Linked DNA regions of Drosophila melanogaster. The protein of the gene in region 1 purifies or fractionates together with the protein of each later gene. This does not show direct contact. Each region holds a gene or a part of one and is shown on either strand. Other genes may lie near its edges.

What was found. The genes of interacting proteins can lie anywhere in the genome.
Region 2: the proteins of Nfs1 (region 1) and CCT4 purify together in Drosophila melanogaster (affinity purification with mass spectrometry, with the first as the bait; one large-scale study listed by BioGRID). This does not show direct contact.

Annotation. Positions count from the first base shown.
Region 1 is NT_033779.5:11,996,691-12,002,465, forward strand, and holds Nfs1 (Nfs1 cysteine desulfurase), read left to right. Parts: upstream 1-2,963; 5' UTR 2,964-3,034; coding exon 3,035-3,164; intron 3,165-3,222; coding exon 3,223-4,481; 3' UTR 4,482-4,554; downstream 4,555-5,775. Other genes in the region: Ada1-1 (transcriptional adaptor 1-1), read left to right, coding at 214-1,013, 1,078-1,204; Hacd1 (3-hydroxyacyl-CoA dehydratase 1), read right to left, coding at 4,724-5,461. UniProt on the Drosophila melanogaster protein: Catalyzes the removal of elemental sulfur from cysteine to produce alanine. It supplies the inorganic sulfur for iron-sulfur (Fe-S) clusters.
Region 2 is NT_033779.5:12,689,836-12,694,769, reverse strand, and holds CCT4 (chaperonin containing TCP1 subunit 4), read left to right. Parts: upstream 1-1,835; 5' UTR 1,836-1,947; coding exon 1,948-2,053; intron 2,054-2,552; coding exon 2,553-3,205; intron 3,206-3,267; coding exon 3,268-3,407; intron 3,408-3,466; coding exon 3,467-4,151; intron 4,152-4,214; coding exon 4,215-4,232; 3' UTR 4,233-4,434; downstream 4,435-4,934. Other genes in the region: IFT43 (intraflagellar transport 43), read left to right, coding at 1-196, 253-276, 344-466, 522-783; CG6153 (uncharacterized protein), read right to left, coding at 926-1,050, 1,114-1,304, 1,368-1,687.

The sequences.
Region 1 (5,775 bases):
ACTAACTTGTACACAATAAAAACTGTGAACACTAAAGATTAAAACCAATATTTTTTTAAAGGGTTCTTCAAAAATAACGGTTTTTATCTCAAATGTATCTGGTATTTTCAGCCGTTCTTTGAACGGTCACTCGAATCAGCTGCATTCATTTGTTTATATAGCAATTCGCAAACAGTTGGATTTTCCTGTTTAGTTGTTATTCCCAATACTAAAATGCTTACCGACAGAGTTCTGGCCACCAAGGAGGCGCTAGTGGTGGCTCTGGGCGACAACTGGGAGCGTTACCGGGCCAACATGAAGAATTGGTTTCGGAGCCGTTGGACTAAGGAGGAATTCGATGCGGAGTCGCGGAAAATCCTAACACCTGACAAACTGCACCTGCACAATCAGTTCCTGCTCGCCCTGCTCAACAAGATCGACGCCTTTGCTCCCCTGGAGAATCCTCCGGCCGTCCAGACCAGCAGCAGTAGTGGCAACCGAAGCAAACGGCGCAAAAGAAGTTGCCGCACCTTCGCCGAACGCCTTAATTTTGAGCTCAGCGACGTCCTGGACTTTGTAGCCGAGGACAACATGCAAATCATTCGTCCGCCAACCACGATCGGTATTCCGTCGGACCAGCAACAGCAACAGCTTCAGTCGCAGCGGTACTGCGCGCAGGAACTTTTCCTGCCCGACGCGGGATTCATTATGGGACGATTTCTGATCGGTGCCTGGGAAATCGGACTTGTCTCCGTGGACGACAATGTCGCCGAGTACGTTGCCATGGCCGTGCAAGTTCTGCTCAAGGATCTACTATCGGCAATCATCAAGAAACGAAAGCACTACAAGACCAGCGGCGAGGGAAACTTTTACTACGATGTAGGTGCTCCGTTGCGTGATCCTTCGCTGCGCAACACCGTCACCCGGCAGAAGGTCGACGACACGCCGCTGGAACTGGACAAGGAACTGAATACGGCCAACTTTATGCGGCGACAGAACGACGATGTGACCTTCCTCTCCGCCTGCGAAGAAGTGTAAGCTCCTGAATAATAATGAGATTTTCATGTGAAACACAAACTTAGGTTTTGTTTCTTTCAGCCAACCCACCGAACGCACAGTAATCACCCTCAAGGACTGCCAACTGGCCTTACGGGATCGCAACCTGATAGGCTCGCATGCCGTCTACTCCATAAACATGGAACGACTCAATATGATGATGCATTAGCTTATAAGTTCTAATTATTTTATTATATCAGCTTCTGTAAAAATATATACATTATACGCTAGTGTACCATTAAGTGTTTGGTTCAGCAAAGATTCCGTGGAGGCGGTTTGAATGGCAAGGCACCTGGTAGAAATTGATCCGCCTTGAATGCTTCGATTTCCTGCTCGTTGAGATCCTCCATGCGACTGTAAACTGAGGACTGGATTTCGTTGGTCGGTTGAGCTTGCTGCTGCTGCTGCTGCTGCATCATTTGCTGTTGCTGTTGCATTTGAAATTGTTGTTGCTGCTGCATTTGTTGCTATTGCATCTGCTGCTGCTGATGCATTTGTTGCTGTTGCATCTGTTGCTGCTGCTGCATCTGTTGCTGCTGCTGCATCTGTTGTTGATTAGGGAATGCAGATGCTGCTGCTTGAGCAAATAATCCGGAGGCAGCTGCCTGCTGCTGCTGTTGTAGTTGCTGAGAAGCCTGAGTAAACATTCCGCCCATATTTTGGCTTGCGGCTTGGCCAAAGATTCCCGTCGACTGCGGTTGCTGCTGCTGCTGTTGGAAACCACCGAAAGGATTAGGATTCACTGGCTGAGCTTGCACCTGAACCTGCGCCTGGGCGAAAATGTTGCCCCCTTGGAAAGCTTGTGCAGCAGGCTGCAGCTGTTGCTGCTGTGGCTGTCCAAAGACACTTTGTGCACCTGTTGCCGCAGCTCCTACACCAAAAATGCTATTCCTTGCATTGGCATTGCTAATCGTTCCGCCGAAAATGCTATTGGTGTTGCTGGCTTGGCTTGTGGCATTCCCAAATATATTTCCCGCACTCAGCGTGGGCTTTCCAAAAATGGATGCAGATGTATTGGCGGCAGCCGGAGCTGCTGCAGCGAAGGGATTACTGGACTGCTGAGGGGCAGCCGACACAGTGCCGCCCTCCGGCGTCTCGTGGATCTTGATCATCATTTCCAGGACCTGCGGCGACATCTGAAGCATGGTCTTCATCTTGTTGTTAGCCTCTAGGACCTCACGGTTAAACTGTTGGCTGAACTGTTCGAATTGGTTTTGTCGTTTGGCCTCGTAACACATGAACCGCACCTCCTCGAAGGATTGGTCCTGAATAAAGTTGGGGAAATTCGCTTTGTCCTTAAAGGGTCCGTAGGCGGACAAAGGCCACATCTTGCCATTGAGGCTGGATTCCATGTCGGCTTTGAGATATTGCCTAAAATAATTAAGTTATTAGTTCATCTGCATAGTTTTAATATCAATGTACTCACTTAACATCGAAATGCTCGTTGTTGCACTTTGCGCCATAGCGGCAGGAGCCTTGTTGAAAGAACCGGCAGACAACCATATTTAAATTTGATTTTAATTTTTGCCTATTTCCTATATTTATTATTTCAAAACTGCTTCAACTTTTGTACTTTTGTTTATAATTGTCTTACTTTGCGTATTGAGTATTCTTTGAGTATTTTATGGCTCACTGAGAAAAATATACCGTGCCTATGCGCGCAATTTCGTGAATTCGTAACTTAAGTTCGCTGAATGATTAAGATAATTTTGTAAGCAAACATATTTAAGATGAAAACTGGTTTTTGAAAATATAGTTCCTTGTAAATTATACATTAAGTGCGAATATATCTGAAAAATATTGGTTTCTTGCACAGATGCTATTCATTTTTCATATGTTCAAAGAAATTCAGAAACTTGCTTCTGCATAATCGAATCAGATAATTTTAAAGTGAATTCCGGAGTCCTTTGGTATATCTCGTGCCGCCGAATACGGTCCCACTGATTGTGAAATCCGTGATAACGAATTTTAACACCAGAATTTCTAGGATTCCATCAGAATGCAAAAAGTGCTGGGACGCATCCAGGCGCAGGTCCTCCGCTCCCGGGCGACGAATGCATTAGCCAATGTGGTTAGACACGAGGCCACCTCCTCCAGGACAGCGGCTAAACCAGCCGCCACATCCAAAGGTAAGCGGATCCTCCAAGATGCACAGTTACCGCTTACCAAAATCGTATTCGTTCGTAGAATTCCGGGAGAGACAGGTGCGATTCAACATAAAGAACGAACAGACCGAGGGTAGACCACTTTACCTGGATGCCCAGGCCACCACTCCAATGGACCCACGTGTATTGGACGCTATGCTCCCCTATCTGACCAATTTCTACGGAAATCCCCACTCCCGTACCCACGCCTACGGTTGGGAAACAGAGTCCGCTGTAGAAAAGGCCCGCGAGCAGGTGGCCACCCTGATTGGCGCCGATCCCAAGGAGATCATCTTCACATCCGGCGCCACCGAGTCGAATAATATCGCAGTAAAGGGTGTTGCCCGTTTCTACGGCACTAAGAAGCGACACGTGATCACCACCCAGACGGAGCACAAGTGCGTGCTGGACTCTTGTCGTGCTTTAGAGAACGAGGGCTTTAAAGTCACGTACCTGCCAGTGCTGGCCAACGGACTCATCGACCTCCAGCAACTGGAGGAAACCATCACATCGGAGACCTCGCTGGTGTCCATTATGACGGTGAATAACGAAATCGGCGTACGGCAACCCGTCGATGAGATTGGCAAACTGTGCCGGTCTCGCCGAGTATTCTTTCACACGGATGCCGCTCAGGCGGTGGGAAAGGTCCCGCTGGACGTTAACGCCATGAACATTGACCTGATGTCTATATCCGGCCACAAAATCTACGGCCCAAAGGGTGTAGGCGCCCTGTATGTCCGACGAAGGCCGAGGGTTCGCCTCGAGCCCATCCAAAGTGGCGGCGGCCAGGAGCGTGGCCTAAGGAGCGGAACGGTTCCAGCCCCGCTCGCCGTGGGATTGGGAGCTGCTGCGGAACTTTCTTTGCGTGAGATGGACTACGACAAGAAATGGGTGGACTTTCTATCCAATCGCCTGCTGGACAGGATTTCAAGTGCCTTGCCGCATGTCATCAGGAATGGTGATGCCAAAGCCACATACAATGGTTGCCTGAATTTGTCGTTTGCCTATGTCGAGGGCGAGTCACTACTGATGGCTCTTAAGGACGTGGCCCTGAGCAGTGGGTCCGCCTGCACCTCCGCCTCCCTGGAGCCCTCCTATGTTCTGCGTGCCATCGGCACCGACGAGGATCTTGCCCACAGCTCCATACGCTTTGGCATCGGGCGCTTTACCACCGTCGAGGAGGTGGACTACACCGCCGATAAGTGCATCAAGCATGTGGAGCGACTGCGCGAGATGTCGCCGCTGTGGGAGATGGTCCAAGAGGGCATCGACCTAAAGACCATCCAATGGTCGCAGCATTAATGTACTAATATTTAAGCCGTTACTGTTACACCACACTTTGAAAGCGAAGGGAAAATAAATTTGTTGGAAGAGTATCTAGGTTTATTTGTACACAAAACCACTTATAACTAAGCTTAGTCCGAACGAATGTGCTTGTGTAAGAGGTGAGGCAAGAGAGACCCCAAAAAGCGAAAACGGCTCAAAGTGCGACGGCCAATGATATGCAAATGATGCAATAATTTGCATTCGCCGCTGGTCAAGGTTCAGTTGGCCTTCTTCTGGGGTGAGCCGCTGGATCCACCGCCCAGGATCTTACGGCGCTGGGCGAACATGTGCAAGTACAACTGCGGGAAGATGGGGATGTAGCCGAGCATGACGATCCACAGGAATCCAAAATACGAGAAGGTGGCGTTCCACTTGTTGGGCATCACCACACTCCACACGCTGTTCTCACGGGCATAGCTCTGGGCCCACCAGAAGCACAGCAGCTCCCCAGTCACGCCGATGGGATACAGGACAATGAATGTGGTGTAGCGCAGGAACACCACAAAATGCGGCACCACCTTGACGATGTTCAGAGCGTAATATCCATATCGGATGATCTCAGTGATGGCCCAGGCCAGCAGGGCGATGGGCAGACCGGGTGAAACCTTTCCAGTAGGCGTGGCCATCACCACGCCGACGACCACCATCATGCGGCTGAACACCTGGAAGCCAGTGACCACCGGGTTCGACTTGACCAATCCAAAAGAAGCATTGAGTATCTCCACGAACGCGGCATTCTGGAAGATGATCACGGCCAGCCGAGTATACTCCCACAACGTCACCTGGGCACGGAACTCCGGACCCTGCAATATGTAGTAGTTGACCAGCTGCCACAGGATGTAGCTCCATCCGACCACCTGGCCGGCGTTGTACGCAAACAGGTACAATTTAGTGACCGCCGACGGCTCCTTGGAAGCGCCTGGTTTGCTGGACTTGGACACTGCCTTTGCTGACATGTTGGAGCGGAGATGTGTGAACTTTCACCTTGCCGATCGCCGCTGGTTAACTAATCAGTCGTCACAGTCTTATCGCCCTGTAGCGCGATAATTCCGAAGTCGCTTTCACCTGATTGGGTCAGTATGACCGCACGGCGACCACACAAAAAATACCAAAAAAAAGGGCTAAGAAATATATATAACTATTAAATACCCTTCCATATAATATCTTTTATAAATAAAAACGCTTTGATATCGAAAATTGTTCATTTAATCATTTGTAAATTAATAATCATTTAATTAAAATTTCTTGATATAAAATTTCATTCGCCTTT
Region 2 (4,934 bases), 690 kb from region 1:
AGGAGGAGGATGTCCAGGCGGCTGGGGGCTCCAAGGACATTTCCATCGACATTACGCTGAATGTCCAGGCGGGCACCCCACCGACCACCTCGGACACGGCCACCTCGTCCACATACAACAATGAATTCGAGTCACATCGACCACCCATTCGTCGCATTTCAGGTGGCTGGGCGGATTCTGGACTCAAAGGATTAAAGTGGGTATGATTAGGCTCGAATTAGGCACATTACTGATTGCTCTATATCTTTTTAGGTCCAAGAAAAACTCCTTTGATGAGTGAGTACAAGTTTATCACAATAACTTCACTTTCCACCGACTGTTATAATGATAAAATTCATTTTAGTGAGCGCTTTAAACAAACAAAGTCGGCTACAAATTCCATACCAACGGATGACATTCCCGTCATCCCAGACATGGATGATGTCAAGGACGAAATCATGCTCAATGAGATTGTAGAACCGCCAACGTAAGCAGAAGCTGCTATATTTCTCTTCACTACGATAATAAGTTGTAATTTGTAGTATTGGCACCTCACGATCTGCTGTTTTGAAGGAGGCCAATTCCGATTTGCTTTCCCAGTACGCCTTTTCAGCTGTGGATGGCTTTGATCTCTCAATCCTCACCGATTGCCTGGTTCCACAGGAGAGCCTCAACGAGAAGGACGATCTCTGGCAGTGGGACAAGCTGTTCACCGAGGTCACGGCTGAAATCCATTCGGATAAAGTGCCCAATATGGGCATGAAAATAGGACCCGATGTGATTCCACCCACACAATATACTTAGTATGATTTAGCCCACAATATCTGTGCAATACAAATGCTCAATAAGTTAAGCGAATACAAAAACATTTCTTGCCTTAAATGATCACAAAATATATACACTACAGAGATACTCAATTAAATTGTAAATTTTAATCTCTATAACCCTATTGGATGGCTCTGCCGACTCCATCGAAAGCCTTTTCCTTGTGATCCGCTGCATTGGCACGGGATTCGTAGTTGCATATGGTTACGCCATGGTAATGAGCTTCTGTGAACTCTCCTCGAAGACCTTTGAATAGTGACTTGGTTTTAGTTGGGAACACAGATAAAACATAGATTGTTGTGAGCTTACCTATATAGTAAATGCGTGTTATGTCTTCGCCAAAATTGCTGGGAAAGTAGAGGGAGAGATGGTGCACGGAGGAGAAGGTGACCACTTTGGGTGAGTACTCGATTTCTCCGCGGGCATCGCGGGTCAGCTGGAACTCCTGGTCGGGCTTTGCTCTGGCATCATCAAAGGTCATCCTGGGTCGGTTCTTGAAGCTGAAAAATAAGATATATGATGAATATAGTAATATTAAAGCAGCCTTGACTTTTGTTCCTTACATTTTGACCATGTTTGGATGGGAGTCATCATTGGCCCCACTTATGATGATGCCCTTGAGCTTGATGTTGCCGGTGAAGGGAATGTTGAAGAGGAGCTCTTCATCCGCATCGCTCTCCACGTACTTGGACAGATCCTGGCGCTTCTCGTACGGCTTAAAGACACTTTTTCCCTGGCCATCCGTCTCCTCGTTCAGGCACTCCACATTGTCCAGATCGATTTTGGTGTACAAGCTGTACTCGATGCCCATTTCTAGGGCGTGGTCCACGTCCGAGGCCTCGTGGCTGCAGCCGCCGTGATCGTGAGAGTGTCCGTGCGGCATTATTTTTATTTTAAATTCAAAAATCGAACAAAAATTCAATGTAAATAAAGCAGCCGAGTCACAACGCAAAATACGGTCACACCAATTTGCCATTCACAAGGGATGATGTTATCGATGCCGATAAGTTGGCGGTATATTTGAGCTCAGCGAGTGCGGCCACACTTTCCTTAACATTTCGCAGCAACGTGTTCTGTGTAAATCGCTGTGAATTTATTGTAGAATAACTGTGTTTTGTTAAAAAACTATAACTTAACCCTACAATGGCGCCCAAGGCAGCAGCTGTCAACATCAAGCCAACGGCCAAGGCCTTCAAGGACAAGTCGAAGCCCACCGATGTGCGTTTGTCCAACATCCAGGCGGCCAAAGGTGAGAAAAAGCGAGGAAATTAACAAAATTAAACACATTTTTGTATCAAAATGTTGGCGTATGTGCTATTTATTGAGCTAAGAACCGAGGTGACTGAATTCCGAGCAGTGGTGCATCAGAATTTCCGGCCAAATGGCCTATTGAAAAAGCAGTTGGATGCCGGCTGTCTGGAAACTTCTTGGGCGGAAGAAGAAGAAGAGCGCGCATTACTCATGTGATGAATTGAAACAACCTAAAAATTGAGGATTTTTAATACTCTATTCCCAATACCCTTTTATCCGCTACAAGGATTTTATTGTTTATCTCTTAAGATAAGTTACAGTAGATTTTTTGAATTAACACATAAAACACCATATGTCTTTTTGTATGTATGTATGTAAATTAGTCATGCTGCTGTGTAAAACTAACCACACGAATTCCACTTATCTGAGTTTCTCATTAAGTTTTAACGAAATATTAAAATACATTTATAACCTATTGAAATAATTCTGTTTTCCAGCCGTTTCCGATGCTATCCGCACCAGTTTGGGCCCCCGCGGCATGGACAAGATGATCCAGGCCGGCAACGGCGAGGTGTCCATCACCAACGATGGCGCCACCATCCTGAAGCAGATGAATGTACTGCACCCGGCTGCCAAGATGCTGGTGGAGCTGTCGCGTGCCCAGGATGTGGCCGCTGGTGACGGCACCACCTCCGTGGTTGTCATTGCCGGAGCTCTGCTTGAGGCGTGCGAGAAGTTGCTGCAGAAGGGTCTGCATCCCACGGCCATTTCGGACTCGTTCCAGCGCTGCTCGAACAAGGCCGTCGAGATTCTTAAACAGATGTCCACTCCCATCGAGCTGGACGACCGCGAGACGCTGATCAAGAGCGCCTCCACCTCGTTGAACTCCAAGGTGGTGTCGCAGCAGAGCAGCCTGCTGGCCCCCATTGCCGTGGATGCCGTGCTGAAGGTTACGGATCCCGGCAAGGAAACCTCTGTGGATCTCAAGAACATCAAGGTCATCTCCAGCCTGGGTGGCACTGTTGAGGACACCGAGCTGGTCGATGGATTGGTCTTCACCTGCCGCTCTGCCGGATCCAACGCTCCCAAGCGCATTGAGAAGGCCAAGATCGGTCTTATCCAGTTCTGCATTTCGGCCCCCAAGACCGATGTGAGTACATCGCTATGATCCTAACAATTTATTGTCTTTTATAATTTATGCCGAAATTACAGATGGATCACAATGTGATTGTATCGGATTACGCTGCCATGGATCGTGTGCTCAAGGAGGAGCGTTCATACATCCTGAACATTGTCAAGCAGATCAAGAAGTCAGGATGCAATGTTCTTCTCGTTCAGAAGTCTATCTTGCGGTAGGTTTAGCTTACTTGTTATTTGTCCACTTTGTGCTGATAGTTCTCCACTTATCTAGCGATGCTGTCTCTGATCTGGCTCAGCATTTCCTGGACAAGATCAAGTGCATGGTCGTTAAGGATGTGGAGCGCGAGGATATTGAGTTCGTGTGCAAGACCCTGCACTGCCGACCGATCGCTTCGCTGGATCACTTCACAGCCGAGAACCTTTCCAGTGCCGATCTGGTCGAGGAGGTGGCCAGTGGTACCAACAAGTTTGTGAAGATCACCGGCATTCAGAACATGGGACGCACTGTCTCGATCATCTGCCGCGGATCCAACAAGCTGGTGCTCGAGGAGGCTGCTCGCTCCCTGCACGATGCCCTCTGTGTCGTCCGTTGCCTGGTGAAGCTGCGCGCCCAGATTGTCGGCGGTGGTGCGCCCGAGATTGAGATGGCCCTGCAGCTAGCCGCATTGGCACAAACCGTGGAGGGTGTGGATGCGTATTGCTTCCGTGCATTTGCCGATGCTTTGGAGGTGATTCCCTCCACTCTGGCTGAGAACGCCGGTTTGAATCCCATTGCCACGGTCACGGAGCTACGCAACCGCCACGCTCAGGGTGAGAAGAACGCCGGTATTAATGTGCGCAAGGGCGCCATCACAGACATTTTCGCGGAGAACGTTGTGCAGCCGCTGCTGGTCAGTATTTCGTCGATCACCCTGGCCACGGAGACGATTCGATCGATCTTGAAGATCGACGATATTGTAAGTGTTATACAAATGAATGAAATGATTTAAATTTAAATGAATGTTTTTATTTATTCACAGGTCAACACCTTCAGTTAAGCAGTGTAATCCGCATTCTTCGGTCGTCTGCCTCTGATCAAGATCAATCTTCACGCAAATTCATCTAAAGTCTCACATCTTATGTCCATTATGCGGTTGCGCATTAAATTTTGAATAAAATTCACATATACACTACGCCTCACCAGCTTAACATGTATTTAAAAAATAAAACTATATGATTAAATACTTCGCTAACACAACCTACATGAAAACTTGAATTTAATTACTGATATGTGCTCTTGTTCTGAGGTTAAATAGTTCTATAAAATTAGTTAATCACAAATTGGAGTAAGGAAAAATGTTTAGGAAGTTCGTACTCATTATATAAAGACTTATATATTCCTTAAGATTAAAAGCTAATACCTTTTGCGGTTAAGCTTATTTGTAATACATATATATTTCCTTCTTAAATGGAATTTCTAAGATTTCATTACAGCGTAAAAGTCTATCAACTAACCGAAACCTTATCTAGTGAGCGAGTTCATTTTTCTTGTTCTTAGCCAACGCCTTGGGTTTCAAAGGGATGGCTCACCCCCAACCATTTCGCACCCCCGCCCCAATCATTGTATTCCGTTTAGGTTTTGGGGATCCTTTTTGTCCTGGGCGTGTAAATAAAAATCACTTGATGCGATTTTTATGATGTGCGTTAAATGATTAAACCACTTGAACTGGTTTCAAATTGTCAAAAAGGGAAGACTTAGG